3 linked regions of the Drosophila melanogaster genome follow. The protein of the gene in region 3 purifies or fractionates together with the protein of the main gene of each other region. This does not show direct contact. Each region holds a gene or a part of one and is shown on either strand. Other genes may lie near its edges.

Region 1 (12,068 bases), on a different chromosome or scaffold from region 3:
TGGACCCCAAGCTCTGTCGCGCCGTTACCGAGGCTTTCGTCCGATTGCACGAGGAGGGCAGCATCTACCGTAGCTCCCGACTGGTCAATTGGTCGTGCACCCTACGATCGGCTATTTCGGACATTGAAGTGGACAAGGTGGAGATTCCCGGTCGCACATTCCTCTCCATTCCCGGATACGAGGACAAAGTGGAATTTGGTGTTCTAATAAAGTTCGCCTACAAGGTGGAAGGCAGTGACGAAGAGATCATTGTAGCCACCACCCGTATCGAGACTATGCTGGGCGATACTGCTGTGGCTGTGCATCCCCAAGACGATCGGTACAAGCACCTGCATGGCAAGTTCGTAGTCCATCCGTTCTCCACGCGCCGCCTGCCAATCGTCTGTGACGAGTTCGTGGACATGGCTTTCGGTACGGGTGCTGTGAAGATCACCCCAGCCCACGATCCCAACGATTACGAGGTGGGCAAGCGCTGCAATTTGCCCTTCATTACAATCTTCAACGACGACGGCTACATAATCGGCGACTACGGAGAGTTTACTGGAATGAAGCGGTTCGAGTGCCGCAAGAAAATCCTGGAGAAGCTTAAGGCCCTGAATCTATACCGCGAGACATTGAACAACCCGATGGTGGTGCCCATCTGCAGTCGCTCCAAGGACGTGGTGGAGCCGCTGATTAAGCCGCAGTGGTATGTTAGTTGCTCGGACATGGCAGCCTCTGCCACTGAGGCAGTGCGCTCCGGAGAACTAAAGATCATTCCGGAGCATCACACCAAGACGTGGTACCACTGGATGGACGGTATTCGCGACTGGTGCGTGTCGAGGCAGCTGTGGTGGGGTCACCGGATTCCGGCATACCATGTCAGCTTCACCGACCCTTCTCTTCAAACTGGATCGGTGAGTAAATCTACTTTGGATAATAATAATTTGTATGGGTAATATATTTCGTTGGATATCTTAGTCTGCTCATGGAAGTGTGGTGCGTAAAAAACCAAAACATAACTCTATAAATTATAGACAACACTTTTAAATTAGACAAATTAAAATTTTCCTATTTGTTTCATTTTTAGAACGACGACGAGCAGTACTGGATTGTAGCACGCAGCGAAGCGGAGGCTCTGACCAAGGCAGCCGAACGTTTTGGAGTGGACGCCAGCAAGATAGTACTGAAACAAGACGAAGATGTCCTGGACACATGGTTCAGTTCGGGAATCTTTCCCTTCTCCGTTTTTGGCTGGCCAGACCAAACTAAGGATCTGCAAACGTTCTATCCCACATCGCTGTTGGAGACGGGTCACGACATTCTCTTCTTCTGGGTGGCTCGCATGGTATTCTTTGGACAGAAGCTGCTGGGCAAACTGCCGTTTAAGGAGGTCTATCTTCACCCCATGGTGAGGGATGCGCACGGACGCAAAATGTCCAAGTCCCTGGGAAATGTTATCGATCCTATGGATGTTATTCGTGGCATTACGCTCGAGGGACTGCATGCTCAACTTGTGGGCTCCAACCTGGATCCTCGGGAGATCGAAAAGGCTAAGGCTGGACAGAAACAGGATTATCCGCAGGGAATTCCCGAGTGCGGCTCGGATGCACTTCGATTCGCGCTGTGCGCCTATATCACGCAAGCGCGCGACATCAACCTGGACATCAATCGCGTTCTGGGATATCGTTTCTTCTGCAACAAGCTGTGGAACGCCACCAAGTTCGCCCTGCTGTACTTCACCGGCTCTGAGAAGTTTGACACGGAGCTAAGTGCGTCTGCAGCGATCAACCAGATGGACGCCTGGATCCTGTCACGCTTGGCAGCTGCCATAGAAGCTTGCAACACCGGCTTTGAGTCGTACGACTTTGCTGCAGCGACCAGCGCCTGCTACGCATTCTGGCTCTACGATCTGTGCGACGTGTATTTGGAGTGTCTGAAGCCGATCTTCCAGAGCGGCAGCGAGGAGCAGCAGACCGCCGCAAGGCGCACGCTCTACGTATGTCTAGATTATGGACTGCGCTTACTCTCCCCGTTCATGCCTTTCATCACGGAGGAACTTTACCAGCGGCTTCCGAGGGCAAATCCCGCTCCTAGCATTTGCGTGGCTAGCTATCCCAGTAAGTCGCATTTGATTTCTTCATGATGATAGAATTCAAATAAATTTAACTTCCTCATAACTAGGCAATACATCCTGGCGCAGCACAAAGATAGAATCGGACGTTGAATTTGTGCAGAAGGCGGCGCGAATCATCCGATCTGCCCGTTCCGACTATAATCTGCCCAACAAGGTTAAAACCGAGGTGTATATAGTATGCACGGATTCGGTGCCCAGTGAAATACTCAAACGCTACGCCAGCGATCTGGCCACAATCTCCTACTGCTCCAATGTGGTCTTTGACAGTCCCGCACCGCAGGGCTGTGCGATCCTCACCGTGACGGGCCAGTGCGAGGTGCACCTGCTGCTCAAGGGACTCGTGGAGGCGGACAAGGAGATAGCCAAGCTGCAGAAGAAGAGCGACCAGCTGGTGCAGACGGTGGGCAAGCTAACTCAGGCCATCCAGGCCGCCGACTACGCAACTAAGGTTCCCGCCGAGGTGCAGGAGGCCAACGAGACAAAACTCTGCGAGTCGCGGGCAGAGATCGAACGCATCGCTGCCGCCATCGAGACTCTGAAACTAATGTGAACAGGGAACGTGGTAACCGCTAGTCGGGAAGACTGGTAATTGATATTTAGTACGCTTGCCTTGCCAGCTGCTGGGCTTTACTTAAAAAATACAAGAACGCGCTTCACTCGCAAACAAAGTTAATGCATTTCGTACAGAGTAGACAAATCGATTGATGTTTTATTTATTCATAACGTCCCACACATGAAATTTGCCCCAATATAAATAAATAGAAAAGATAAAAATACCTAAGGGATTTTGGTTATTCATAGCCCGAGCGAGCTACCAGGTTAATCGAGTGGCATGATCCGTCTTGCGCTTCGACATCTTAATGTACCCCAGAAACTGCAACTCGGCTACGGCACGCGTGAATCGGGCCCTGGTTGAAAGGAAAACCAAATGAAATTGATGATATTACAGAGAGAAATCCATTTTTTTACTCACTGGATCTGGGGATCGATTTGTTCCTGGGCCACTTCCTCGTGGTCGCTGTCGCTCACAACAGATCGAAAGGCCTGCAGCCAGTCGAAAAGGTTGATCATGCGACCGCACTCCAGGTGCAGCTTGTAAACCACGGAGAGATCGGGCAGTGTGCCAACCAGCAGTGATTGATCTTGTAGCTCGCAGCACTTGCACTGCATGTAAAAATGTGGATTATTCAGGGCAGTGTGCAGTGCAGCCCGCGGAGCACCAATTATGTTTCGCCGCACGGTAGCAATGTCGCTGAACACAAAAAGTTCGTGAATAGGTGGTGCATCCTGCAGCGCACGGAGATGATCCTGTACAATCTGCGTTTCGATAAGCTGCAGAGTCTTTTGTAGAGCTCGTCCGAATTGGGTGGTGGGCGTGTTCAGCTGATGCCGCATCTTGTCCTCCTTGCTACGCTGTAGGAGCTGATCTTTCAATTCTTGACGCGAGGCCACCGGAGTCAAATGGTCAGTCGCCTGGCGGGTTTCATTGGGCGATGTCGTTGTAATTGTCGCCATGGTGGCCTTGACCACTTCGTCCACTGCAAGGCGTATAGCTTCTAACTTAGGTCTCAGCACAGCAGTGCAGGCCTCGCCCAATTCCAGCGGAGCAATTTCTTCAACCAGGAACTGTTCGGTTCTTTCCAGGGCTCGATTCACTTTAGCAACAAATTCGTCCTTGGACAGAAAGCTTAGCATCTGCAGGCACTCCTTGTACTCCGGCGTCGAAATGATCGCACGATTAAGACAGTTGACGTACAGTTCCCGGCGTAGCTTTCCCAGCGGACAGCGCGGCAAATCACCAACCAGCTCTGTAAGGAACTCCAGAGAGCAGCGGAAAAGCAGGAAGTGGAGCAGGCAGTCGCGCAGCAACTGCGGCAGTTTCTTCTTTAGGTAGTCATCGTCCGTGAGCACGGCTATGATGCGTTTGCAATCATTGATCTGCTCGACGTACGGACGAAACGATGGGAGCCTTCTGATGGTTTCCATATCCTCGTGGGTCAGCTGCTTTATGCGTCCCAATGCTTTGCTGTAGTCTGTGCAAAGAGCAAAGGCATTCCCACCAAAGAAGTGTTCCATCAGGCAGTACTTGAAGCCCTGAATAAAGCCGTGGATGGAGAAGTCGTAGTATAGGAAGATGTGCGTCAGGAACTTGAATGTCTTTCCCGACAGGTGGAAAGCGTACTTGGGCGACAGCAGAACTTTATCCAGCACCTAAAGGTTGTTAGAAAACCGATTAGTACATAAACTAGCACAGAGTTAAGGAATATTACCTCATTAAGGCCCGTGGGAGCAGCTTGAGTCTGGAACACCCTTAGACGAATCTTGCTGCTGACGTGGTATGGTAGTGTCCCATGGACAGCTGTCATGGCCGTGGCCACTCCCAGGACCAGGACGAATGGAAGCGAGCCGCAGTGAGCGCTCAAAATTAGAATAAGATCCTGCAGCACGCTTGCGTTAAAGCACTCAAAGTCGGGAAGGATGACGACCAGCTGGCGGCGCTTCTGTTCCGAGTCAAAATTGTTCGTGTACCAAGACTTCAACTGCTTCATGGTGCACTGCGAGCGACGTAGCCGCTTGCGATCCCGTTCGGCACCATCCTCGTCCTCGTCCTCGTCTTCCATTTGCTCCACTTCTGCATTATCTTCTACGAGCCCGAAAACCAATGTCTCAACGGCCGCCTTGAGAGTGGCGCAATCCCTGGACTGCAGCACACATACCATTGCAGCACGTTGGGCATGGAGTCGCTGGGTAAGTGCCGTGAACTGGCTGAGATGATCCGGCTGATTAATGCCCGTTAGCAAGGCGGCGGTGGGCAGCACCTCGTCCGGGGTGTCGCGCTCTGCCTGCCCCACCACAAAGTCCACCAGTTGCTCCAGAGTGCGGGCATAGCTGCGGTGCTGCAGGTCGGCAATGTGATCGTTTATCTGATTCCAGGCCTTGCGATATTCCTCATAGAAGGGCTGCTGCACTACCTCTTTGCCAAGAAGACTACTGGATTCTGCGGCAGGACGCTTCCGTTTGCTGGCCGCCTTTTTCCCTGCTCTCGTAGCGCCATTTTTGTAGACAAAACAGCCCTGCAGACAACAAAAATAAGTAGTTAAACATCTATGTCCAGTTTGGAAGCCGAAGCCACTCACCTTGGACACTGAAATGGTGGGATCCATCGCTGGCTTTGCACTGCGGCCCGATGTCGTGGAGTCTTTAAGTCGCCGGGTTGCGTTTATTTATTTATTTGTTTAGGTCAGCTCTGTGCCAATTAAAGTTTCTTCACCGGTAGGAACGCGAAATGAAATCAGCTGGCTGTTGTGTTTGGCGCCAAACGGGCGGCAGTGTTGGCTAACGACTTTAGGGGGTATCTTTGAAAACAAGTGTGAAAAGTATAAATTAATTGAATATTTCATCTAACATGAACTAATAATAAGAAATCATACCCTTCGTGCTCGTACGCCACCATTTTGGTGGATACGAATTCGTCGTAGTTTCTGTGAACAGCACCAAGTTTTTTGAACGTTCGCCATCGCAACGATCCGACCATTTTGGGGCCACTTGGAATGAGAAAAGATAGAGGAGCAGGAAATCGAGGAACAGTATGATGGCTGCCAGGAAGTAGTCCTTCGTGCGCATCTCGGCGAACCTTCCACCGTTTATAATCTGCGCGTGATACATGACAAACTGTAAGGAGGAAACTAAATGACAGAAACTAATTCAAAAATGTATGACTCAGTACTAACCATCAAGATGCTGATCACTATAAAGCAACGGGCGATTATAAACGAGTATGCGACATTAGCCACGATGTAGAGCATCACGAAGTATATGGCGCCGATAATGGAAACCACTGCAAGCACAAATAGCACCACAACATCCAAAGTAAGATCCAGCTTAAGGGGATAACAATAAAAATGTGAAGCTTCAGATTTGAATCAAATGGCTTTCATGTGGACTCTTCTTACCGGAAGAAAGGAACCACAGACAATAAAAAGCGCCAATGCTACGGTCCATATAAGGAAGCTGAAGAGAAACTGATACTTGTAGTGGCGGGCAACCAGCGGTGCAATCCCCAGTACAATGCATTCAAACTGGAAAGAATAAGTTCATACTGCCACCCAGGTTATGTTTCACATTGTAGACTTACAATTAGAAAGGCAAACAACCAGTTTACCATTTTATTAAAGCGCAGTACCTCGAAAAATATGAAAAGTACGAGGAGTATCAGGCCTATTCCAAAAAAAAGGCAGCTCAACCAATGGTACGAAGTAAAAAATTCCCTTAGAAAATTTCTGAAAATTAAGAAAAAGTGCAGTGAGGATGAAGTAATGTGAAAATACATACGTACACAAAGCGGAAAGTGGCCCATTGCAACAGCGCAAGGATCAGGAATATCGCGGTTAGTAGGTAAGTGATCAGAGCGAACTTTCTTCTTTCCTTCTTGTAGTAAGAACTTTTTTCCGGAATGTCTGCCATTGTGTAGTGTTTCTCGAGTATTATTGTTTGTATTGTGATGTTTTTTTTTAACGAATTTAAGTGTACAGTAATACGAAATGGGAACTAGATTGATTTTAAAATTATATTCTTGGGAAAACACGTAAGTGCATAATAAAATTTTTAAAATATTCGTTTTGGCGCCAAATGTTGCTGCTGGATATCGATATCCACTATCAGGGTTGCCACATTTTCAGCCGGTCAGCTGTTGCTTCCGATAATCAACTGCATCTTCTGTTATCGATTGGCGGCAACACGGGATTTTCTAACAATATTAAATAGAATAATAATAATAATTACATTTATACAAATACACGGCAGGGAAACAAATTGCACGCCAGTTTGGAGGAAATGCTCAGGACAGTGACCATTGAGCTTTAGTGGAACTTTTATTCCCTGAAACAAAAATCAAGAACATTGAAATTCTTTTGTGTTTCGAATTTTGATCAATTTATGACTGAACAGGTAATCAATAAAGTAGCTCCATTAAAAAACAGTAACTCTAACAATTCATTTTATGTATCCTTGTTTAAAGGGCAGCCAAGAAGAAACGTAAGCGATTGGTATGGAAACGCCTGCATATGCCACGAAATCTGGCGGAGAACTGGTGCTGCCCGAAGCTCTGGAGGACTTGATGGATTTGGAAGACCAGGACGCGGGCGGGATGAAGTCCAACGTTAAGGATAAATCCATGGATTTGGATATCTATCACGATTTGTACGATATAGAGCCTGCAGGTTCAAAGAAGCCTGACCAAATGGACAGATCCCTTGAACTGGACATCTACGATGATTTGGACGACTTTCAGAAGGCCGAAGATCGTGTAAGTTGTGCAGGAATACGTCCTTTCAGCAGAGTTACCCATTTACCATCTCACAGAATACCAAGGAGCTACAGGCATGGGAAGCCAAATACGAAAAGGCACTGGCCGAAATTGAAGCGCTAAAGGTTGAGAATAAGGCACTTGGCAAGAAGATAAAAACCATGGAGGTTAATCTACAGAATCTACTGGACACAGCTAAGGCGGAGGTAAAGAGAAAAGAGACACTGATTGCCGAGCTGCGAAACGAGTAAGTTAGCATATTGACTCCCTGCTTCTTAACAAACAACACATTGTTCAACAGAAAGGACGATGTATGCTTCCGACGAAAACGAGCACGGGCGTTTGACGTACCAGGTGCAAGGGAACCCGAAAGTAAGCGTCCGAAAGAATTTCAATCTACACCAATCGATGTCAGGAAATATCCGGAAACGAATAGAAATCCGTTCAAAACGGCTGCAAAGGACGCCGCTAAGGATGATGCTAGGAAGATGATGACCAAAAAAGATGACACAACGAAAGTCGTATCAAAAGATGTTGAAAGAGGCGTAAAATCCAAGGAGGATAATAAGATGGCGACCAATAAAGATGATGACAAGAAGTCATCCTCAAAGGATGATGCTTGGAAATCTAGGACAAGAGAAGACGCCAAGAAATCGGTCCAAAGAAGCAAGTCTCCCAGGCCGGAACACTCAAAGACCACCGATCGGAAATCTACTGCACAGGCTCGTCGTCCAGATCCACATCGCAGCCGGAGTCCAAAACATAATTCCCGGCGAGATCATCACAGGAATCAAGAAAGCAGTTCCCGGCACGCCAAACGGCGAAGCCAATCCGCATCGCCCAGGTCAGTAAAGCAGAGGGACATAAGTTACATTTGTTGATAGCACCATCTGATTTTTGTAGCAAGATACAATTGCCAAGAGAAAAAGCAAATGCCATCATCACACTTACTGACGATGAAACAAATGACCAACGCAGCAAGAGCCCAGTCCCCGTGACCGTCAAACTCGTAACTGAATCTCAACCGGCTGAAAAAGTCGTTTCCAACCGAAGGGATGCTGCTTTAGAAACCAATGCAAATTCCTCAAAGGAATCAAAAGTAGAGACGAAGGATATTACTCAACCGACAAATGGTTTAATTGCTGAACCTTGTATTCCAAAACATGAGATTATTCCGGGGTTAAGCTTAATTAACCCAGAATCGGCGGATTTTTCTAAAAATGAGATCAAGTTAGATCCTGTAATCTTACAGGATCGTACAGAAGACTCTGGCCACCAACTTTTAAATAAGGAGCCTATTCCCAAAGTTGTAGTACTTGAAAAATGTAAAAACATTTTAGCTGAAGATTGCCCAGCTGATGAGCAACCCCTGGACAAATTCAAGGATGGAAAAGAATCTGAAGAGACACAGGCAAAGTTAGACAAAAAAGAGCCTTTTGCAGTTGAAACTGCTGTTGAAACTCCTAGCAAAGAAGAAAGCAACGACAACATAGTATTATCAAAGAATACGACGTCTCAAGCTGATGTGTGTTCTCAGCATGATGAGAATGATGAAGCAGAGATCCGAGAACCGATGGATCAAGTTAACTCCGTGGTCGAGTCCGACTTGGGAGTAAGGATTATTGAGGATATTCGGTTGCCCAAGATGGCGAATATCGACCATTTTGCTGTAAAGGTCGACAACCATGGTGAAGCGCCAGCAGCTGTCACAGATTCCGCTTTAAATCAAGAGAACCTAGCCACACAGGACCAAAAGATTTGCGCAGAGATGAAAGATCCAACTATTTTTACCACCTCGGACGAAACTCCAATAAAGTCTGCTACTATATTATACGCCAAGCCCGATTCAACAAAACTGGATCACAGCGATGAACATGACGAGGTTATCCTGGAAACTGCCATTGACATGCTGAAGAAGGAGCAGGATGCAGCGAGCACCGCAGAATCCACATATCCGAAACTGCGGATCGCAGAAGATGCCATTGAGATGGCACTAGAGCAATTGCACCAGCAGTCGCCGGACGAAACTGTGGTGACCTCAACGTCGAATAGAGCGCCGCAGACGCCAAAAAGCCTCATCACAATACTCACCCAGACTCCAAAACAGGCTGATCCACTAAGATCCCAAACGAAATCGAAGACTGTGTCGCCGATGGCGACGCCTAAGAAGACGGCCACGGAGAAGACCCCAGTGAAGAAGAGAAAGGTCAACATGGATAGTTCGCCGCAGGTGCCAGCCCATGATGTTACCATCGACGAAACTTTGGGTGCCTGCAGTCTGCAGGACGAGAGCTCAACTGTGACCAAACGCTGCTCCCTGGGCCACACAGACTACCAGTACGAACAGATAAAGGACGAGGTCATTTTAAGAGTGAAACGACGGGGTCGCCGACGAAAGCCAACACCTATGGAAATACCTACGACTGCTGCGGACAAACCAATTTGAAATAAAATTGTGTAATCGATTTGAAGTGTCCACTTCGAATTTATTTATATATATTACATTGCTGCACCCAATGATTGGGTGAATAGGTGTTAATTCACGCGATCAGGACTTTCGATCATCTTGAACCATGAGTAGGCAACGATCCAAAAGTAAATGGCTACACCTGTGGGTTTTGAATTATTATTAATAATAAGGTACTTAAAATAAGCAAACTATTCTTAATTCTGGATAGTGTGAAAATATATCAAATATTTTGCAAGCTTTACCAAATCCGCCGATGATAAGGAATAAGGTCAAAATCACAGGGCCAATTGCGACGCAAACATAAATGAAAAACATAAGATCATAAACAATGCGAATTGCGCCTGTTATTAGATAGCCAATGACCAGTTTTTTGGATTTCTGGAAAAGACGAGAGTCTTAATTAATAGATTGCTTCTAACTAGAAATGAATACTTACCACCCAAACAGAGCCAATAACTGAGACACAAAACACTAGGTGGGCAAAGTGGATGACAAGTGTGATGATCCAAACGTAGTAGGTGGAAGTGTAGCTGACCTCAAACGTTCCCATATCATGATCAATCCACCAGTCCTCATAATAGGCTAGATCTGTGCGACACTTTATATTCAAATCGATTGAGATCATATTAAAACACATACACTTAGTTTCCAAAACAACTGCCGCCGTCACAATCATATCTATAAGGGCGATAATCAAGGCTCCCCATCTTAGCTCCCAGCAACAGCACTTCCTAATGGTACACTTCATTCTAATTTAACTTGGTGTCTCGGGATCATTTTCGTATGGGTAATGTTGTCGTCTGAGTGATCTATATGTCCGCTGAGCCTCCAAGCTTCTTGTACCACGAGAAGACAACGATCCACAAGCAGACTGCAATAACTGTGGGTCGCGATAAGAAGTGCGTTAATTTGAAATACTTTAATACATACATTTAATTAGGTATTATATGCATTCAATCGAAATGAAAGTCAGGGCCATCTTGTGTATTTTTTTTGTAAATATATATATGAAACAACTTACTTAGGCCAATAATGATGAAAATCAGTCCCGGGATATCGTGGTCGCCCAATTTAATGCACACGAAAATGAAAAAAATGATATCAATAATTACGCGAATTATTGCGGTTATCAAATAGGGAGCTACGAGATTTTTATTTCGCTAAAAAAAGGGTTTTAAATATACAAGGAAATTACTAACAACAATGACTACTTACCACACAAAGAGAAACAAGAACCAAAATGATGCAAACTATGTGGGCAATGTGGACTATGGCGACAACATACCAGACGATATTCATACCCCCACCGTAATCCATGAAATCTGCAAGATTCGTGCAATTGGTGCGTTTTCTTTCCCTATCCTGTAAATACTTCAATCATACTCACCCGTACACCGGATGACAACAAAGCCTGCAAAGATCCAATCAACCACGACGGCAATAAGTGCACCCCACTTCAGCTCCAGGCAGCAGCATTTCTTTATGGTTGGAATGCCCATTGTATAAGATTTTTAATTTAATATAATATGTATGTGTTGCGATTCAGTTGAGACTTGTGTTTGACAAGCTAGGATTTCGAATGTTTTTCATAAGGATACCTGATGCCCTACGATTTTCATTCCAACGATTACTAAATTTATGCCGAGATGGCGGGGTCAAACCAAGACACGACTGTTAGCCAAAAGTAAGTGGCCGGAACTGCGGAGAGGAGGAGAGGATTGATGTCACGATTGAGCGCTCAATTTGATTGAACCATCAATTGGAGAGTACTCACACAAACTTAGACCTATGAGCCAAAAACTGGTGGTACAGTCGAACGACTTGGTCACTATCCAAATCAGGATGAGAAGCAGCACAACGAAGCGCATCGGTGCAGTGGCCACATAGGGGGCAGCCATGATTTTCTCCTCCTAGACGAGTAAACGGGTATATTAGGATAAGTTACTTGGACAGGACGGAGCATGGAGCACGTACCGAAAGAGCGGAGATTATGATCAGTATACAGGCGCCAATGTGAAGAATGAGGACAATCAGGCCAAATATATACATCGAGTAGCCAAACCTGTTGAAGTAGAAATCTTCACCGACGTAAAACCTGTACAAATCCGAACTTTTGACAAGGGATGGCCCATGTACAGTAATCGGCTCCTGTGTAAGGATCAAAATATCTGCATCCA
Region 2 (9,569 bases), on a different chromosome or scaffold from region 3:
TTGAATAAATATGGCACATTCATAAATAATACCACTTGAAAAAATTATATTTGTATTTTCAATATATTTCTTTCCCAATATGCTTTGTATTTTTATGAATACTACTTGAAATTACAAAATAAAGGTGGCAATTAGTGAATTGTAAGGCACTTATTATTTTCCTTTGTTTTTGAGCTAAATAAATTCCAATTCCAATTGCTTGCCAGTTGCTGTAAGACCTACGATTGGTGGGGGCGGGAAAGTGGGGAAAAGCCGTTCGGAAAAACAACAGCAAGATGACGAGACTAAGCGGCCATTGTCTCCGCCCCCCTTCGAACCCCGCCCCCTTTGCAATGGAAATTGTTTACCATGCATTTTGTTCGATTCCGAGTCGAGGCGTCTGAATAATGCAGCAGGTAGTATACGCTGATGGAAAAGCGGAAAAGCGGGCGTGGAAAATGGGGGGGCGGTCAAGTAAATAAGCGAGCATGAAAGCGAAGACGAAAACAAAATGGGGCAGATAAAAACAACAACAACAACAACAACGCCAAAAGGACAACAATGCTGCAGACACAAAACCGCTTCGAATCGCTTTGGGCGGCATTCAAATTGAATATTGAAAGCATCGAGCACAAAACTGCCAAACGCTTGAATTATGCATTAATGATGTCTGCCACACTGGACAATATAGTGAAGGGGTGGCGGGGGAGTAAAGGGGGCAAGGATTGAGGGGCGTTTGCAGGATACAAGGGGTTTTTTTTTTTTGAAGCCAGGGACAAGAACAACGGCAATGCGTCGTCCTCGTCGACTGACCATCGCTTATTAATTTTTTATGCGTCTGCTATTTTTATGGTCGACATGAAAGCGTTGGCCACAAGCCTTTTATTTTCCTGACCATTTTCGGCTAGCTTTCAATAGTTTTTCACCGAAATTTCCATTTCAACCAGACGCGAGTTTGCGTTGAAAAAGTTACTAAAACTTATCCTACATAGGAGATTTTATTAGAAGAGATACTACCTTTTAAAGTCAAACGCTTAGAATAATTTATAAGGCTGATTATTTATTCCTGGCTTTTTAAAATAATTTAAAGATAAAGATTTCCAGCTTCATTGATATAGAAATGTCAAAAAAGTTCTATAGCACACGACAGTCATACATTTATTTAACCAATTAAAGCGATTCGAAATGGCATGGTGTTTAAGTGCTATTGCCATGTCGCGCACTGTCAATACAATGTCAATATGCATTGTTCGCTAATGTATCGCCAACAAAGTTTTACGCTTTTTGTCGCCAGATTTTCCCTTTGGCTTAATTCCGTTTGAACGACGAACGTTGCGTTGGACAGGATTTTGTCCTGCAAATAAAACGCGCCCTTGACAATGGCCGTCAATATGCCGATATCGGTGGACAGAAAGACGTTAATTACCAACATTACCGCGCGCCCAATTATCAACCGCACAAATCAGCGGTGATGTAGGTACGGGTAACCTGATGCACCGTGTGCGGGGCAATGGAAAACTCATTACATGCCACAGGAGCCATCATCCGTGATTCGAAAGATAGCACATAGGTGGAGCGATGGAGCACAGGGGCAGGTGGCCAGGCGCCACGCCCACAAGGAGCGACCGCAACATGCTGTAATGCGTGGCTCTATCAGCATTTGCATGTGCAGCTGGAGCTGGAGCTAAATGCGCCCGATACTTAAAGCCAACTAAAGGCCATATGTTAGCCTACACTGCCAAAGGACAAACTTAATGTCAACACGCTAATCTGTCAGTCGGCAGGAGTTGCAGCGCAGGATGCGAGATGCAGGGCGCGGAATGGGGGATACTGGCATGGCGGGGAGTTGGGAGTGCGACTGCAAAGGATCTGCCACAATGTCAGGCCACTTAAGGAGCGCTGAATCGCAGCGCCTCGCTGCACAGGAACTCAAGGATATTGGAAGTGGGCGGAAAATGGGCGGGGAACACTCCCAGAAAATGCAGCGATTCTTAGACAAACTTCAATCCTTGGAACTTGATTAGCTATTATTACTTAAGGCAAACGATTAAAAAAGCTTCTGCGTAAAGGATTAGTAGAAAGATATAAAAGAATCCCATATTCTGTTAATCTGAAATCAACAGATTCTGAAATGAAAAATATTCATATTTCAGATAGCTTACTTCAAAATAACTAAAAAGAATAGCCTAAATGGTTTAAAAAGCATATAATACATTCAAGAATAGTGTATGCTTTTTAAATAATTCACAATCTTTTGAGGAAATACCAACAACCCAACTTCGCGCTGCTTAAAATTAATGATAAGTATGTTTAATATTTATAGAAAATTATTTGCTAGTGTATCGCCGCCTGGATGGCGCAACAATAATGCTGGACCCTTTGAAATGACAAAAATTGGTTGCTCTCCGTGCGGCTTGACGCCTGACTTGGCAGGAGACACTCGAGGGCACCACAAATGCCAAGCCGTCACCCACCCAGGCACCCAACTAAACACCCACTGCTCCTACAAGCAACGTCCTCCCCCCGCGAAGGACGCGTCTTATCAACTATGCAGGGCTTTGTCTCTAAGCGATTGCAGGCGCCACCCCCCCTTTCCCTTCCAACCTGCCCCTGCCCCCTTTTGCTCCACGCAGTCAGCGTCTTTTGTTGCGCTTAATGAATTTTACGTAAATTTTACGAGCGCTGATTTCTGGCAGCAGCAGCACCACCCCAGCTATTAATCCACACTTTGGCGAGAGCACCACCCCCAGTGGATGGGTAAATTAGTGGGTGGTTGGGTGGTTAGTGGGTGGATGAGACTGGTGCTCTCCTGGTTGTGCGTGTGTAATGACAAGTTCAACAACAACTCGACATTGTCGACTGGTGACGAGGACGACGTGCTCCGACATTTGTTTGCCCAAGTTATGCAAATATTTTTCCAGTCAAGAAGTTTTTGTTTAATTGCATATTTTGACTCGCATTACGCGTGTCATAAAGCAGGGATCCGGAGCTTACCACAATGCCAGAAGTTGGGCGGGGATTAGAGGCACTCGAAAGACATGTTCCTGCATTTTACAGTTCAAAGACCAAACTAAACAATCAGTTTTACGAGTATAGATCTTATTCTGCCCAGGCTTGCCATTGAACTATAGCTATCTTCCTTAGAAATTAATTTAAATTAAATTTATATTTAAGTCTCTAAGATGATATTTTAAAAATAATTCCTAACACAGACGAAATCATGGAGAAGCCTTTAATATGGTTCATAAAACATAATTTATTTGCTGCGTTCGAAACTGTGAAGCTGACCTACTTCATTTAAAAACGAAATTAAACCGAATATATATAGTATGTATACTTCTGCTTTAGACAGTAAAAATGCATGAAGATTGTTTGCTTAATTGGTTAAACTAAATGATGGCTAAATATATTACCACCTCATTTATGGTAATCCGAATAAAACGTTTAATTTTTTTTTGGAGGAAAGCGTTGGATTCGAATTTCATTGCCTGGACAAATTTAAAAAGTTTACATTTTTGAGGCATACCTATCGCGTATACGCTTTCTTTCTTTTCCAGCCCTGACAGTTTCCGAGTATCGAGTATCGAGTATTACTTTCTATCTTTCAATGACAATGACCGGCGACTTTCTCACTTTCTTCGTACGCTTCTTACTGGCGAAACACAAGAGCCCACAAAGGATTATGACAAGTGCTGGCAACTGGATTTCCGAGGAGCTGGAACCAGCTACTCTACTGTCGATTCAGGAGGATAATGGTATTGTTACCAAGGTGTACGTGGCGCCCTGTTTGCAGCCGATAAAAGAGGAGAAAGTTTTCCTGGAGGACAACACGCAACGCTTCCACTGTCCGCTTTGCTCTAATGTGATTCGCACGGCCGGTGCCTACAAGGTCCATCTGATGGCCTGCCAAAGACGCTTGGCACGCATGATGAAGGATGTGCCGGACGTGTCCCAGCATCAGTGCAACATTTGCAAGAAAATCTTCTCCTCGGTGGATGCCCTGATCGGCCACAGGCTCCTGCATGGAAGCCCATCAATGAATCGCACCTGTGCATCCTGCCATGTCAAGTTCGGGACGGATCTGGAGTATCGCACCCATTTGGAGAGCCATCTGATACCGTGCGAGTCCACGGATGAATCCTACGAAGGGGCGTACACCATCACCAAGACCTTCAATTGCGTCTTTTGTCGCACGGAGTTCAAGGCCTGCTTTAAGCCTGGCCAAGTGACCCGTCGATACGCGTGCGACGCATGTATCGTAAGGCTGAAGGCCCAGGAGGAGGAGAAAAAGATCTTAGGGAAGAGAAGGCCCGAATTAATCTGTGATCGTTGTGGGAAAAAGTACAAATATGAGGGTTTCCTTCACCGTCATCTGAAAACTTGCCAGATGCCGGATAAATGCAAAAGAAAGCGTGAGATTGAAATCACCGAGGTCAGCGAGGTAACATTTACAGAAGTTGTGCAAAGTTTTAATAATTGATTATACAAATTCGCACATTTTAATTTTAAATTAAATAAATATATTTTTTAATTGTAATATTTTTTATAATTTTCAAATTATGGCGCCCATCCCACCGATATCTATTTCGATCTGCTATCGATGTGGTCACACTTATCGATAAATCCACCGTGGCGTGGTATTTTTGATTTAAAGCGTTAGTCGATTTCCCGCCCAGCTGCACGTGTATATTTTTTTGCGGTCCAAAGAAAAGTTCGTAAATAAACGAATTTGCGTGCATTTCCAGCGAACACGATGAGTTCAGACGAGTCCAGCGACGGTTTGGAGGAGCTGCAGAGTCTGAAGGCCCTCTACGGCCAGCAGGAGCAAGAGAAACCGGCAAAGATCAAAAGGGAACGTTATATTCCAAAGGCCTCGCAGGCCAAGGAGCTCAACTATGTGGAGGTGCCCATGGAAAAGGTGCTCTTCGGCGACAGGCAGCGACTGCTCACCAATCTAGCCAAGTCCGTGGGACAAAAGTTGCCGAACGATGACGAAGACGAGCAGGAGGAAAATCCCGGCCAGGCAAAGCCAGGCGACAAGCGGAAAGCCGCCTGGTCGGATTCCGATGACGAGGACCTGCAGGTGGGCGATGTCAAGAAGGCCACAAAGCACACGGGTCCACTGAACCACCTGCGCAAGGATAAATCGTACAAGGAGTATCTTACGGCGCGATTCCAGCGCACGCTTAACCAACCCAAGTGGGCGGAAAAGAAGGTCAAAAATGAGGACGACGAGGACGTATCCTCCGACGAAGAACTGCTGCGGACGGTTGGCTTTATCGATCGTAAAGCCCGGAACAGTGATCTGCCCCAGAAGACTCTGAATTTTAAACGGGTCAAAGACCTGAACAGGGCCACATATGCCGAGGGTAATGCCACCAGCATTCAGTTTCATCCAACCAGTACTGCTGCTCTAGTGGCGGGCATGAATGGCCTAGCCACCATCTACGCCGTGGATGGGCAAAAGAACGAAAGGTTGCACAACATGCGCTTCAAGAAGTTCCCGCTGGCGTGCTCCAGAATTGCTCCATGCGGCACAAGGGCGTTCTTTGGTTCTGTGAAACCATTCTACTACTCCTACGACTTGCTGGAAGCCAAGGAATCGAAGCTAAAGCTGCCGGGCGCAATGGAATTTATGCACCGCTTTGAGGTGTCTCCATGTGGCAAATTTATCGTCACTGCTGGCAAGTTTGGAGCCATTCACCTGCTCACGGCCAAAACAAATGAGCTGCTGCACAGCTTCAAGCAGGAGGGCAAAGTGAAGGGATTCACATGGTCTAGTGACTCCAAGAGGATCCTCGTCTGCGGTTCCACTTCCAATGTCAGCGTGCTGAACCTGCGCCAGAACCTCATCGAGCACATCTTCATGGACGACGGCTGTATACATGGAGAGTCCATTCAACTGTCTCCCAACCAACGCCTACTGGCCACCGGCAGTCAAGAGGGCGTGGTCAACATCTACGACTACGAGAGCATTTTCGCATCCAAGGCCCCACAACCCGAGAAGCGCTTCATGAACCTACGGACTGCCATCACGGATCTCCAGTTCAATCACTCATCTGAGCTACTGGCGATGTGCTCCAGTGAGGCGCCGAATGCTTTTAAGCTGGCCCATTTCCCCAGCGCCACTGTGTACTCCAATTTCCCGGCACAGAACGAGAAGGTTGGCTTTGTGACCTCCATGGCCTTTTCGCCGCACAGCAGCTTCCTGGCCTTTGCCACTAAGGGCAAACAGGTGCCGCTCTTTAGGCTTAAGTACTTCAAGGGTTATTAATTGAAGGCAGTATGATGTTTACAATAAATTCTTAAATAAAATCATTACTCTTTCTGTGGTTACAATGGAACCATCTTTATTTAAGTTAACAAATTAAGGGGACTTATCTTTAGAAAGGAGCTCGGAAAATATCGCGTTTCTGGGAGTCTTGAATCTTGCCAATGTCTTCCAGCTTCTTGCTGATGTTCGTCGACTGCGATTCGATCCACTGCAACGAATTCATATGGGCATTAAGGATTTTTCCGATCTGTATGATGGGATCAGTGGTGTCCTGGCCCTTGTTGGCCTCGTTCAAGTTGTCTATTATCTCCTTTAGATCCTCGGACATCTGCTTCAGTTGTGTGTCCAGATTCTCCACCATCAGGTAGGTTTGGCTGCGTTCCATGTCCACCCTCGGGAGATTAACGAATTCCTTCTCAAGCGGTCCCAGGCTGTCCTCAAGCTCTTTTTGCTGCGTGGCTATAAACTCCAGCTCCTGGTCCAGCACTTGCTGATCGGTTTTCACTTTTTTCACGGCATCGTTGAGCTCGACGATCTTCCCGTTGTTGCTGATGAGCAGTTTGTCCCATGCGTTGATCTGAGTGGCCTGTTCGGTGAATACCTTTTCCTGTTCCTCGAACTCGAGAGTCCACTTGTTGATATGCTCCTCAAGTTGGTGGTAGGACAATTGGGATGCCGTGGAAACGGCCGATGAGTCTGTGGTCTTGGTTTCGGTAGTGAGATTGGCAAAAGCACCACCAGTACTTAAAGTTGGGGCCGGTGCAGCTCCCTGCGTGGAGGCTATGGCCGACGGAGCTGCAGTCAGAGTTGTGGACGCAGCGGCCGTGGTCTTGGGAGCTCCCAATCCAGACCCGCCCAGCAATCCAGTTGTGGTAGCTGCGGTGTTGGGTGCACTGGTTGCTATAGTTGGCACCACAGATGCCGCTGGTTGAGCCGTAAAGCCTCCGAAGGCGGGAGGAGCAGCAGAGGTTCCAGTCGCGGTCGCAGAAGTGGTGGACGCTGGATTTGCGGCGGCTTGAGTGCCCAGCGTGAGGGGAGCTGAAGCAGTCCCGGATCCCAGGCCAAATCCAAAGGCTGGTGGAGCCTGCGCCTTGCTGTTGTCTGCATCTCCGCCACCGATACCAGCAGTAGGTGCCGGTGTTCCGAAAGAGAATGTGGTTTTTGTGGCGGGAGCCGTGGTTGCTGCTCCTGAAGCTGGTGCTGCGGCTGGTGTTCCTGTGCTGAGGCCGAAGGAAAACGACGATGTTGCGCCTCCGGTCGGGGCGGCGGTTGTTGTTGGCAACTGGAATACCATGCTTAAACTTAAGACGAATAATATAAATCTAAATCAAACGAAACACGCCAAAAGCAACCAGTGTGACCCCTCCTTGGAGTTCCGCAATGTTGTCGGTGTTGGAAATCAACTAAATTTGAGCTCAAGCTAGCTATTTTCAAGCCAAAACACTTAGCAGTTTGAAGATTGGGCGGCAAAATTAAATTTTAAATTTCTTTGAATTGGCAATACAAATGAAGTACTTTGCTCAGTCGACGATACATTTTTGTTACTAAAACATGCTGAAAACCAAAACATTTATATTATTTTAACGTTTGCAATCACTTTTTGCACTTTTAAAATATATTTATGTCTGTGTCCGTTTTTTTAACCAGCGATCAACTAACTTGCGAAATCGACAAACAACACTGGTCGAGAGCTATGTTTTAGCTCCAGTTTTAGTCGTACATGGAACAAATCATTCCGCGCAACTTAAATAAAAAAACCAACTCAGAAAGAAAACGTAGTCAATCGTACAAACAAAATCAATAACAAAACACCGGCTTTAATTAGTCATCTTTTGCTATCTGTAAGTGCAAAGGCGATAAGGTAACATTTGGGTCAAAAGAATTCAATTACAAGCCCAAAGTGCAGCGGCACTCAGTTCAGTAATTGCATTTTGCTAAATCAGCTAAACACATGTGTGCTTCCTATCAGAAGGTTCGTTCTGCGTACCTGTGTAGGTTCTCTTCAGAGCTGCCAGCCACAAAATTAGAAAAATTACCTAAGGTACAAACGTAATGCGGTACAACAATTAGAGCTTGTCTTTGACCTTCGGTTTTTTTTTTTTTTGTAATAAGATTCTTTTTAAGATTTTCATAAGATCTGAGATCTGATCCTCAAAAACAGAAATTTTAAATTATTCTTAAAAACCAGATCAAAATTTTCTAATAAAAGACCATAGTTCCTATGTTTTGTTAGTACATGTTTTCCCATCACTAGTACCGTGCTCTAGTCTACTATGCTTCCAACTATTTCCCCAACTTTGTTGACCAGTGTAGCTGGCAAGCAGCGCCAGAATTGAACAACAAAAGCATATCAGAATCAAAAGCCCCTGTTCTCGGTCTCTCCTCGATTTTCTCTATTTGCTCCCTGTGATCGCTGTGAACTTGGCGTGATAAGGGGCTCCGGCTCCTCCTGCAATCGAGAAAGCCCGCTGTTTGCGCCACCCGGCGAACACCAATCAGTCGATGGGAGTACTCCGCTGCAATAGCAATTAGCCACTAACCTTCTGTCAGCTCTTCAGGTGCCATTCCCCTACCTCCAGCTCCTCAGGTGCCCCTGCCAAACAGAGTTATCTGGAGTGCCGCCCGCTGGAGAATATAAATTCCCTGGGTGCCCAAAGGCCAGGATTCAGTCGGTGCCACTAGCTCGCCATGTACGGAACGTGGGGCGTCTTTCTGGGCGGGATTCTTCTGCTGCAGGTTCTGCAATTATCCATGGGCCTCGATAATGGCCTGGCACTAAAGTGAGTATTAAATTTTGATTGGATTCTAGGCCACTTAATTGAAATTCTGTCGATTTTAGGCCACCTATGGGCTGGATGTCCTGGGAGCGGTAAGAAATATTTACCAGCAACTAGATTAGATCATAAAGAATTATCATTACGTCTAACATTTAAAATAAATAAACTTTAATAGTTAGTAAAAATTAGGCCTTGGCATGAACTCTACACGCTACGCTGCAATAACGCTTTTGTTTATTTCATTGCTGATATAACTAACACTACTGATATAACTATAGTCTATTTAAAGATTCTCTGAATTTTTGATTACCCATGTCTTACTTACAGATTCCGTTGCATCACCGACTGTAAACTGTATCCGGATGAGTGCATCAGGTTAATACCCAAACCCAACTCAGATCCTCAAATGTTCCTTTACTTCTTGTTCATTTCACCTGTTTCAGTGAAAAACTTTTCCAAAGACATGCGGATCTCCTGGTTTCTGAAGGATATGCGGATGCTGGCTACGAGTACGTCATCATAGATGACTGCTGGCTGGA
Region 3 (10,549 bases):
GCTGTATACGATTATATGTATATTTTGGCTCTTTTGCGTCTATTGGTTGCCTCGATATGGTTAACCCTAACTTTCCATTGACTAAAACATACGAACAACATAAACCCCCTCGTGATATCGCATTCAAAAATGACAAATTGTTGTGTTTTTATTAATTTACAACCATTGTGTATTTGAATTTCCCCGCAAAGTTGATGTGTCATAGGATCTTTAAATAAAGTTTGGTCCTAACTACAAAGGTATTTATTTATATTTTTTTTGGGACTAATTCTGCTAATTAGTTAAAAGCTCTATATAAGGGTGCCCAATTTAAGCTGTTAATGGCCCATTTGGTTTTTTTAAATGAACCAAAGGAAGATCATAGCACACAATCCTCTTGGAAGGATTTTGACATTAGTTGTCACGTTGCAACTTTGAATAGTGCCACCAAATAGGCCACAGACAACAATGGCAGCCTTGAGTTGACACGCTGCACCTGCTCGATGGGCAAATGGAACCGTTAAGGCGACAAGGCCAGTGGTTCCCATTTGAAAATAAAGATGATGACTGTGACTGTTTTCAAAGCGGGAATCAGATCGGATTTGACATTCTCGGGAACATAGAGTTTCGAACGGGGGCATTGAGGTGGGTGGCTGGCTGGTTGGTTGTTTGGAATGTGAATGGTTTGTTTGTACAGCTCACAGGCATACATGGAGCTATACATATACTTATTGTATTCAACACAATACAATATACACCGAATGCGAGTACTGGCTGGCTGGCTGGCTCGCTGGCTGAGACATATTTCTAGAATTGATATGGAGCTATATAGCTATGACAACCCAACTCCGGCGTCGCAGTCGCAGTCACAGCTGGCGGCGCAGCTTGGGTTGGGTTGGGTTGGGTTGGGCTTTCGGTTCGTTCGTTTGGCTAACAAGTGAACACCACATCGAACACCGGCATTCGCTGACAGACGTGCGCCGATGAAGCAGCAACAAGTTACTGGCCCCCGATATACATTAATATAGAACGAAAAATAAAGGCATTCCGAACCAAACCATTTATACCATATATACAACGAATACGTATTTCTATATACGCACAAAACCAAAGAATGGGAGGCTGTTGCTCAAAGGATTTGGATGACAAACGCTCGTGGAGTCCCGAGGAGACCAAGAATGGCGTACGACACCCTCCTCATAATATATGTAGTATCAAATGTCTAACACCTCGTTTCCAGAGCACCACATCAACAATCATTGCCCAGCCGCTGGATGAGGTGGGCACCACCGGTGTCTTCACATTGACACGCACCACCACTAGCACCACGCGGCAGGAGAAGACGGTGACCACCACCAGCGAGGAGCAGGAGCAGGATTAGCTGCCATCAGATTAACTGACGTGAAAAGAACCAAAACCTTTTTTTTTGAAACCATTTCAATGCCAATGTGTGCGTGAGTGTGTGCGTGAGTCTGTTGTGAGTGTGTGAATAAATAATAAAAAGATAATGTACATACGAACAATGTGAATATGAATATGAATCAAGTTAAGCTGTTAACGAGTAATTATTAATTGTTATGCGCCTGAATTTCAATATCGTAATAAATTGTTGAATCGCTAAATATTGCACTTGGCTTTAAATTAAAAGGCAAACTCGGGCTTTCATTCAAATCAAATACAGTCTTATAAAGTGGCTTCGATTCAGGAAATCATCAATCACTTTTGCATTTTTTGCATTCAATGGGATAATTTCATATAGAACAACCTTAAAGCTATGCATCTATAACTATTTAACTATCTACAAATATCATTAAATAAGTGCTGCTTTTGCTTTTGATTATAATATTCGCTGTTCAATGCAATTTTTATGAATAATGTTTAACAATTGTTGCATCAAACTTGTATTTGTTTCAAAATATGTATTGAGAAACGAAATCATAGTTAGAAATAGAAGTTCTTAACTGTTCTGTGATCGGTGATAGTTCTGAGTAGAAACTAGTACTCAACGAGATTCGCTCATCCCATATCTACTGTATAAATGTGGGATATGAGATTGGCAAGGTGGGAATCCGCAGGAGCGCAGGTTGGAATCGGCGGAATCTGCCAGTTCAACTGGCTAGCGATAAGAAGGGAAACGATCCAACGCATTATTGGTCGATGACATCAGGAGATGCACACAAAAGAGAGTCAAGTGGATTGGTTGCTGCTATTGGGTGCCCTTGATAGGGTACCTCCCATAGCTGGCTATGGAGCTATCCTATACAGTGAGTCAGTCAGTTGTGTTTGGCCCACAACACGGTTATCAACGCTGCTGACAGTTCTGGGTTTTTTTTTTTTCTTCTTTTCATTCTCAACCAAAAATGACTAACTAACCAAAGCGGGCTGGCGCACGTGTTTGCAGTCTAATAAAAGCTAACAACGATCAGTCAGTGGAATGTTTTGGCCATTCCATTCGCACGTACATTTATTTTATAAACACTTTATATACATATGTATGTATATATAGCATAGCACATACATATGTATGTAGGTTGCTCGCATGCCAGATGTGAAACCATTAGGAAAATGCAAATAAGACTGACAATTGCGATTTTCCATTTAGAATTTACATTTATCAATACTTACTTCGTCGCACGTTACATGCAACTTGACAATCTCGACTTTTTTTCAATTTCCATTGTCACTCAAGAACGTCGTTACGTGTATTTGTCAAATCGTTATAATTCAACACATAATAGCGCAATATATTTAACAATAATTTCTTTGTTGACACTAATTCGGCATGCACTACAAGTTAGACTATGCTATTGCAATTTGTTTATAAAAAAAAGCTTTTAGCAACGCCTGAAGGCAGGCAAAGTAATTGTAGCAGTGAGTAATTAAATAAGCCCAATTACCGATAAGAATTTAAAACTCTAGACGAGGTATCTCTAGTTGCTTTTCAACTGTATTCCATTAGAATTGTTGCAAATAGAGCAATAATTGTTTGTGTGAAATATGAACATGTAAATGTAGAATAATATCATTCACATTTTGACCAATCAAACAAAGTTCTTAGACCTAAGATTGCCTGACCGATTGGTTCGGTACACAAGGAAACATTGCGACTGATTAACGCGGGGCGCGTCGTCCATTAACCCATATCTACTAGAAATTATTAAAAACTCTCGACCATTACAACTCGTTCAATTGGCTATGAATAAGAGCTGATAAGATTAGGCCAAACCAACATGCAGAAAATAGAAGACGGCGAACCGAGTGAGCACAAACTGCGCAGATAAATTGAATTGGAGGCGGACAGAAAAAATAAAAAAAAAACGTAGCCAACAAAAATACACAATAAAAAACGACGAAATGCGGGATCTACTACATACAAAATACAAAATACAAAAGGCACCAGCCAGACAATTAAATAACATATGTACCAGGGGTCGATGTTGTATAGTGTATAGTATAGTGTATGTGCTGCATATGCAGATAAAATAATTTAACCGACCCTACACACTGACTTTTCAATCAAAAGCAGCCCCCCAAACGACAGTGCTGCGCTTCGTTTCCAGCGTATTGAATTAAATGGAACATTTTTTGCATAACATACAATAAAATATACATTTTAAAAACACTCACTGCTCATCTATTACAAATTTATATAGTTTTAGAAGTAAAAGAATCTATATCCCCGCCTTACTTGCAGTTTAATGGCACCATTGTTTGCCAAAATCCATGGCATTCGAAAGTAACCAAAAAAAATAATAGCCAAATGCTGGAAGAAGAAAGCGAATGTCTTCGCCAGCCAGCACTGCCACACGGGGCGTTCGAGTGAGCGATAGGGAGCCGAGCGAGCGTACGAGCGGGTTGGAAGGCAGATAGAAATTGGAGCGCACCCCGAGAGTCGAGTCCAGGCCACGATCGATCGACATGCGACAGGCGGGCAGCAGTGCCACAGCAAAGCTACTAGCAGTCGGACGTAAACATGAAACCCATTGGGTGCAACAATATTCCGGTCATCTTCCTGGTGATCCTCGGCATGGTCAGCCTGGCCAATTCGCTGCCCATGAATCCCGAACAGGAGCTAAAAGATGTCGACGAGCCATTGGGTCAGCAACGTCAGCATAAACAGCAGCATGTGCAGCAGATGCAGCGCATGGTGAAGAGCGAAGCGGTGCCAGAGTCGGAGTTCGTCGGAAAAATTGCGCCACGCAATGAGCAGAATCCGGAGGATGAATACGATGCCGTCACATTGGTGGAGGAGCTAGAGGCCGCCGGAGTTAAGCTGGCCGATCGACGTGATCTGCGCAAGCTAACCTACACGGAGCTGGCCCGCCTGCTAGCCCTATGGCATCTGTCCCAGAATCGCAATGTTTACAATGCCAAAGGACCGGAGGAGCAGCCCAATCAGGCCATCGATGAGCGTTAATTTAGTTGCTTAATGAGTAAGCTCGTTTATTTAAAGCCAAAGTTCACTTAATATATATATACATATATATATATATATATATTTTGTGTGACAAGAGAAAAAGGCTAGTAGTACGCTCCACGGAGAACGAAGTGGGATGACCCATGCAGATATACATACTATGGCAACTATATGATATTCTCCGACCTGACTTTCTTTAGAACATTATAAGGAGCATTGTAATTCCAGCAGCAATTCTTTCAAATAATAGTTTGCCTCATTTTTAGACTCGTATAGAAATGCAAATAAACTAAACCGTATTATTGTACAGCAAAGTTATTATTTCTTGCAGTGATAGCTAATGGAGAGTAACTAAGGTCAAAACGGCGCTACAAAAAAAAAACAAAAGAAAAAACTACTAAGGTGATGTGTTCAGTTACGCCACTGCCTTGTGTTTCTCCCACTCGATCTCGTCCAGCCGCGGCGGCGCCGTAGCGCTCTCTGTCGTGATGCCGCCAATCTCCGAACTGGTGCCGGTGACCACCAGGAGCGGCATTTGTCGCCGTTGCAAACGTTTGGCTATCGGCGGCACGAAGAGATCGTGCTTGATTAGCGTGCAGTCCGCATCCTGGTAGATGCGTCGATTGTTGTCCCATTTCAGCAGGGCAAACAGCCAGGACAACAGCCATCCGCCAAAGAAGGTTATCAGGAAGCCCAAAGCAGCGTACCACATGTAGCTAATCCTGTACAGGTAAAAGTAATGCTCTTCCTCGGCCACCGCTATCACAGTCTTGAGGAAAATGTCGCGGGCAAAGCTCCTGTCCACCGGACATCCAGCCGTGGACATATCCAAGCTGACCAGCGGTGGCTTCGGTTGTCCGAAACCGATCCAAAAGCAGAACGCCAGCGATATGAGCAGCCCACCAATGGCTCCCTTTTCATTCGCCTTGGTCACATACATGCCCAGCGTGAAGAGGCCCAGCAGAGGGCCTCCAATGATGCCGAAGATTGACAGTGCCGCCTGCAGTAGTCCGCCAATTGATCCCGCCATGAAGGCCATGCCAATGCAGAGGGCTCCGAAGAATAGGGACAACAGCTTGGAGTACCACAAGGTCTGACGGTCGGTGAGCGTGCGTTTGGCACAGCAGCTGACCAAGGGCTTGAGGTAATCCTCCAGGGTGACGGCTGCCAGCGAGCTGATTATCGAACTAATCGTGGAGAGGCTGGCGCAAAAGATTCCCGAAACGAAGAGGCCAGCCAAACCGGTGTATTCGCCCATCGTGTCCACGACAAAGAGCGGCATCACTTGATCGCGCGAGTTGACTCTACCCTCCAGCAGCGGGTCACAGTCGCGGTAGTACCAGTAGATGCACAGACCGGAGAAACAGGTGCTCAGACTAAGCAGGCACAGAATGGGCAGGCACCACCACAGGGCCGCTCGAGCGGCACTCAAACTCTTCACCGCCATCAGGCGCTGGACCTGCGTTTGATTCACACCATAGATGGCCAAATAGGTGGCACATCCGCCTAAAATCTGGGTGAACCAAGTGTGACGTTCCGTTGGATCCACACTGAAGTTGGTCAGATTGATGCGTCCGTTTTCCTGCGCCACGCGCCATATCACCTCCAAGCTGCCCGCCTTCACCCAGGCACAGATGATTACACTGAAGACAGCGGCGAACATGAGGAGCGACTGATAGATGTCCGTGATGAGTACGGCCTTCATTCCGCCGAGCGTCGCATAGAACGTGCACACGACTCCAACAATTACGATGGAGAAGACCTGGCTCAGTCCAGTGACAGCTTCCAGGGCCAGAGCCGGCGCATAGACCACAATGCCCATGTATAGGACCATCTGGAGCGAGAAGCTCAGCGAGGCGGCCAATCGGGTGGCATAGCCAAACCGCAGTTCCAGATACTCGTACACACTGGCCGTCTTTAGGCGATAGAAGACCGGAATGATGAGGTAGGCGGCCACCGGCGTGGACAACACATACGACAGATTGATCACGACGAACATTGTACCGTACTGGTAGTTCTCCATGGATACGCCCAATATGGTGACGGCCGACATGAAACTGGCCATCAGGCTAAAGGCCACAGGCGCCACGTTCATGGAACGATCCGCCAGAAGATATTCGGTGGTGGTGCTCTGCTTGCCGCCCACGAAACGGTAGTAGATGCCAATCGCAACGGAGATGATCAGCACCACCGCCAGGATCGTGTAGTCCCAGGCGCCCAAAGTAGCCATTGCAGATGCCGGGTTTTAAGTGGGGCACGTGTTAGGCTGATTTTCCCGACGGAACCCTAGTCGCACATCTAATCACTCCAAACTGATAAGTTGCCCCTAATCGGGCCTCTTGAGATTCAAGCGATATATTCTATGGGGCGTCGGACGTTGGAACACGTCTTCACCGTCTGCCGGCCGTCGATGAAATAAAGGCCCAAACGGAATGAAACCGCAAGCTTTTGTTGGTGGAGAGTCAGCATTGGGCATTTTACTATGGCATTTACGACCCCGTCGAGAGATAGCGACCTGTTGTGTTGCACCACGTGCGGCTGGATAGGGTGACAACCAGGCGAAGGATAACCCAACCGCAGGCCCGCAAGCCCTTAAAATGGGAAACCATTTAGGTGAGGGTCATGGCAACTGTCAAACCACCAAAGGCTCGACTTCATTGCACTTTTAGCTCGTGCCGACAAACACTTGTGGCTGGTACTGTGGACGACTGTGTTTAGCCATCCATAAATATTTATTTGCCCGCTCGTCGGATTGCAATTGTAATTGTAGTACCCGATTGTCGTTAGCTGTGTAGAGCTGGTATCCCCCCGGCCCAACTTTGGCTTGTTTGCTTTACGATTTTTACGAGGGAAATTAATTAATAAACACAAAGAGCCCAGTCGGCAAGTCGGCATTGGAGCTTTGGAAGCAGTGTACAAATAAACAAATAAGTCTCAACATTTCGCTGTAACTTATGCGATTCTTGCCGGATACTTTGCTCCCTCAACGCGATCTTTTGCCAATAACAAAAAAAAAAAGCCATCAGACGAATCACATGATGTTCTTGGAGACCAAAAATAGTTCTATGACTGCTGTCGTAAATCTGGTATCTATATGGACCAGTCTGGGGTTTGTAGTTCTATGTAGGGGCGGGAAATTAGTAGAGCACTGGAGCAAACTTCTGGAAGTTTTATGTGACGTTAGTAATCTAAATACTTAAAACTACATTTAACATATATGTACTTCGCATAAGAAGAGCCATCCAGTAGAACAGTCGATTAATTTGTATAATGGCGAACGTTATAAATCTAACAGGTGCTGGAGGACTGAATGCTTTTGCTTCTTTAGCTTAGTAATAAAACTACTATTAAATCACATGATTTTGGTCTGGGCCATTGCGGCTATGATATCTATATGACATGGTAGTCCAAACTCACCGTGACTTGGTACCAGCCAAAGCTGTTGGGCATCAGTTTGCCGAACTTGCCGCGCGGAATGGGCGATCCCCGACGTCGGGAGGTGGGTCTATCCTGTTGGAATTAATTATACATTAGATTAGAAATGTGCATAGGGATAACATGTGGGGTTGGTGGGCACCTTAACGGCCGTGGTCATGTCGCTCATGTCATCATCCTCGTCCCATCGACGCAAATCTTCGGGTCGCAGCTTGATGTCCTTTTTGTTATGTAGACATTGGGAGGGCTTAAAGCTGACGCGCCGCTTGTTTCGATCCTTGCGTCGCTGGCGATCCTCCACATCTATAGGAATACATTATATTTAGGTTACTGGAGGGTTCATTTTCTTGCACTCCCGTGTACTGACCAAAATCATCGAAATCCTCGGGAGCGTTGTAACGTCCGCCGCCATTTCCAACGTTGTTGTTGTACCGCTGGCTACTGCCACCGCCGCGTTTGGGCATCTTACTAATATTCACTCAAAAACGTATGCAACAAAAAGATATGCGAATTTCAGCACGTTTTTAGCTGAGTGGTGTTGTGTGTTTGTGTGGGTGCTGTTGTTATTACTGAGAAAACTGTCTTGAGGGCAAAAAACTATGTGCGATGTATTTTTTGCATTCACACAAACTGCTGCCAACTTCTGGAAAAATTTTTCTCGACTTCCTGAACCTATTTGCTAATATAGCAGCAAAGTAGCTGCTGTTTTTTGGCAAATTTCCACGGCCAAAGTACAACGCAATTTTGTGAAATTTAATTCACTAGCGATCTTCTTTCGATAGCCAGTGGCCGATGGTTGGCAGAAACTGGACGGATGTTTGCGACCTTTTTACAAGTTATTCTTCGAGGAAATTTGATTTAATTGCCACCAAAGCGAAAAAGTTACGAAAACTAACTAGAAATATGTAGCGAGCGAAGTATATTCGCTTGATGTTGATATTGTTTTCTTAATTTCTGACAGGTCTATCGATGATGGCGGGCCAACTATCGCACAGGTCGTAATCAGTGATGACACTCTAGCGCAGAACAACCGCGATAAATCTAAAGATTATTGGCTATTTTTTGTTTTGTTGCAGTTAAACTTTAGAATGCAATATTATTTTATTGGACTGTTTTGAAGAGAGTTACCTCATTCTTACTTTAAATATTATATAGTTGTAGCACACACGTACACACTCCTTTTTTGCTCAATATCAAATAAGTTGTTATTTTACGAATAGAGGTAGTGAAATGTTTTCGTATAAGATTTACTTACTTTCATTTTGTCGCAAACGGTGCAATGTATTTCATAAATTGGTAATCGATAGTTGAGAGAGGGAATGGTGATTACTGACAAATCGAAGTCGAGTCGAGTTTTATTATCAGATCAAGCAATATGTCGGAGAAAAAGGGTGCGCTAAAAGTAATCCCGTCCGCTTCGGAGGAGCAACTTGTCCAGGCCCTGGGCGATCTTCTCCAGCGCTGCTCCCAGGAGGCGCTGGCCAAACATGATAAGTTCAGCGTGGGACTTTCGGGTAAGGATCAACGCACAGGTCATGCAGGTCAAGTGGGTTGGCTTGTGATAAGCCAAACTTGAGGGGTGACCTTGCCAGGTGCGATCTTTAAACTTGTGCTCCCAAAGTCAAGTGTCTTGTTTCGCTTACAGGTGGTTCCCTCGTCCAGTTGCTAACGAAAGCCCTGAAATCGTGCAACTTAAAAACGGCCAAATGGGTGTTTTTCTTCTGTGACGAGCGGTATGTTCGCCTGGATGACAGCGATTCCACCTATGGTGCCTACAGGGCCGAGTGGCTAACCCAATTGCCCTGCATCCAGGAATCCCAGTTCGTCCGCGCCGATACCAGCCAACCGCTGGACGCCTGCGCCGCAGATTACGAGGCGAAGGTCAAAAGTCAAGTCGATCGCTTCGATCTGCTGCTGCTTGGCATGGGACCCGATGGCCACACCTGCTCCCTCTTTCCCGAGCAGCCAGCCACCCTGCAGGAGACCAAGCGCCTGGTTATCCCCATCCGGAACTCGCCCAAGCCGCCTCCCGAGCGGATCACTTTCACCCTGCCGCTGATCAATAAGGCACGGAATGTCGCCTTCGTGGTTACGGGCGCCGCAAAAGCCAGTGTCGTCAAGGTGAGGTCTCTTTAGCTTGATAAGATGGAAAAGAATATGAGCAAGAAATCTGATATTTTTAACCACAATTCAAAAACTTCATTTGTAAGGTTTATTTTTGTTGTTATTATATTTTTTAGAGTGTGTTTGTCGATCTGGACAAGAAGTTTCCCGCTGCGTGGGTGAATCCGACCAAAGGGCAGTTGACATTGATTGTGGACGCGGGTGCTGGAAAAGAAATTGAAACCTTAAAATGACATTCCTTAGTTAACTATCGCATCTTGTAAATAATAATTACCTTGATAATCTTTTCGAGAGCGTTTAATTTGTTGAGCTATTAAGGTTGGAGAAAATAAATAAACACTCCAAATATTGTGATTTTACAATTATTTTTGAATTTCTTTATATATTTATTTAATGTTTAGAAAATGTTTGTAAAATGCAAATCTGGTTTAAAAAAGCTATCGGCAACATGAAAAATATCGATATTTACGCAGTGTGGCCGAACTCGGTAACACAACAAATGGCGCACCCAGTATGACGGCACTCGCGAGCACAACAAACGCTTCGTATTGTTAAAATAAAAGAAAAATTATGAAAATTCAGCAGCAATTGTGC

What was found.
Region 1: the proteins of sbr (region 3) and Orc3 purify together in Drosophila melanogaster (affinity purification with western blotting; one study listed by BioGRID). This does not show direct contact.
Region 2: the proteins of sbr (region 3) and Nup62 purify together in Drosophila melanogaster (affinity purification with western blotting, with the first as the bait; one study listed by BioGRID). This does not show direct contact.

The regions. Positions count from the first base shown.
Region 1 is NT_033778.4:13,199,929-13,211,996, forward strand, and holds Orc3 (origin recognition complex subunit 3), read right to left. Parts: upstream 6,620-12,068; 5' UTR 6,581-6,619; coding exon of another isoform or gene 6,453-6,580; intron 6,397-6,452; coding exon of another isoform or gene 6,252-6,396; intron 6,196-6,251; coding exon of another isoform or gene 6,070-6,195; intron 5,998-6,069; coding exon of another isoform or gene 5,848-5,997; intron 5,789-5,847; coding exon of another isoform or gene 5,548-5,788; intron 5,473-5,547; coding exon of another isoform or gene 5,462-5,472; 5' UTR 5,281-5,461; coding exon 5,254-5,280; intron 5,191-5,253; coding exon 4,387-5,190; intron 4,328-4,386; coding exon 3,090-4,327; intron 3,025-3,089; coding exon 2,928-3,024; 3' UTR 2,800-2,927; downstream 1-2,799. Other genes in the region: ValRS (Valyl-tRNA synthetase), read left to right, coding at 1-896, 961-978, 1,070-2,099, 2,164-2,666; CG34315 (uncharacterized protein), read right to left, coding at 5,462-5,472, 5,548-5,788, 5,848-5,997, 6,070-6,195, 6,252-6,396, 6,453-6,580; FLASH (FLICE-associated huge protein), read left to right, coding at 7,164-7,421, 7,478-7,668, 7,723-8,265, 8,325-9,867; CG34312 (uncharacterized protein), read right to left, coding at 9,957-10,030, 10,134-10,269, 10,328-10,479, 10,531-10,639; CG30058 (uncharacterized protein), read right to left, coding at 10,701-10,771, 10,913-11,051, 11,107-11,213, 11,279-11,390; CG34235 (uncharacterized protein), read right to left, coding at 11,528-11,589, 11,666-11,801, 11,866-12,068.
Region 2 is NT_033778.4:16,342,559-16,352,127, reverse strand, and holds Nup62 (nucleoporin 62kD), read right to left. Parts: upstream 7,752-9,569; 5' UTR 7,548-7,751; coding exon 6,363-7,547; 3' UTR 6,300-6,362; downstream 1-6,299. Other genes in the region: CG15710 (uncharacterized protein), read left to right, coding at 3,662-4,459; wcd (wicked), read left to right, coding at 4,733-6,253; CG7997 (uncharacterized protein), read left to right, coding at 8,942-9,033, 9,093-9,122, 9,358-9,405, 9,474-9,569. UniProt on the Drosophila melanogaster protein: Essential component of the nuclear pore complex. The N-terminal is probably involved in nucleocytoplasmic transport.
Region 3 is NC_004354.4:10,838,294-10,848,842, forward strand, and holds the start of sbr (small bristles), read right to left. Parts: upstream 8,800-10,549; 5' UTR 8,296-8,799; coding exon 8,199-8,295; intron 8,135-8,198; coding exon 7,974-8,134; intron 7,907-7,973; coding exon 7,814-7,906; intron 6,789-7,813; exon of another isoform or gene 6,627-6,788; coding exon of another isoform or gene 4,812-6,626; exon of another isoform or gene 4,397-4,811; coding exon of another isoform or gene 3,953-4,396; exon of another isoform or gene 3,912-3,952; intron 1,603-3,911; exon of another isoform or gene 1,361-1,602; coding exon of another isoform or gene 1,220-1,360; intron 1,163-1,219; coding exon of another isoform or gene 1,094-1,162; exon of another isoform or gene 937-1,093; intron 1-936. Other genes in the region: CG15210 (uncharacterized protein), read left to right, coding at 1,094-1,162, 1,220-1,360; CG15209 (uncharacterized protein), read left to right, coding at 3,953-4,396; CG32669 (uncharacterized protein), read right to left, coding at 4,812-6,626; Pgls (6-phosphogluconolactonase), read left to right, coding at 9,207-9,345, 9,477-9,952, 10,072-10,188. UniProt on the Drosophila melanogaster protein: Mediates the export of the majority of mRNAs from the nucleus to the cytoplasm. In ovarian follicle cells, plays a role in transposable element silencing regulation by enabling the nuclear export of flamenco (flam) transcripts and subsequent piRNA biogenesis.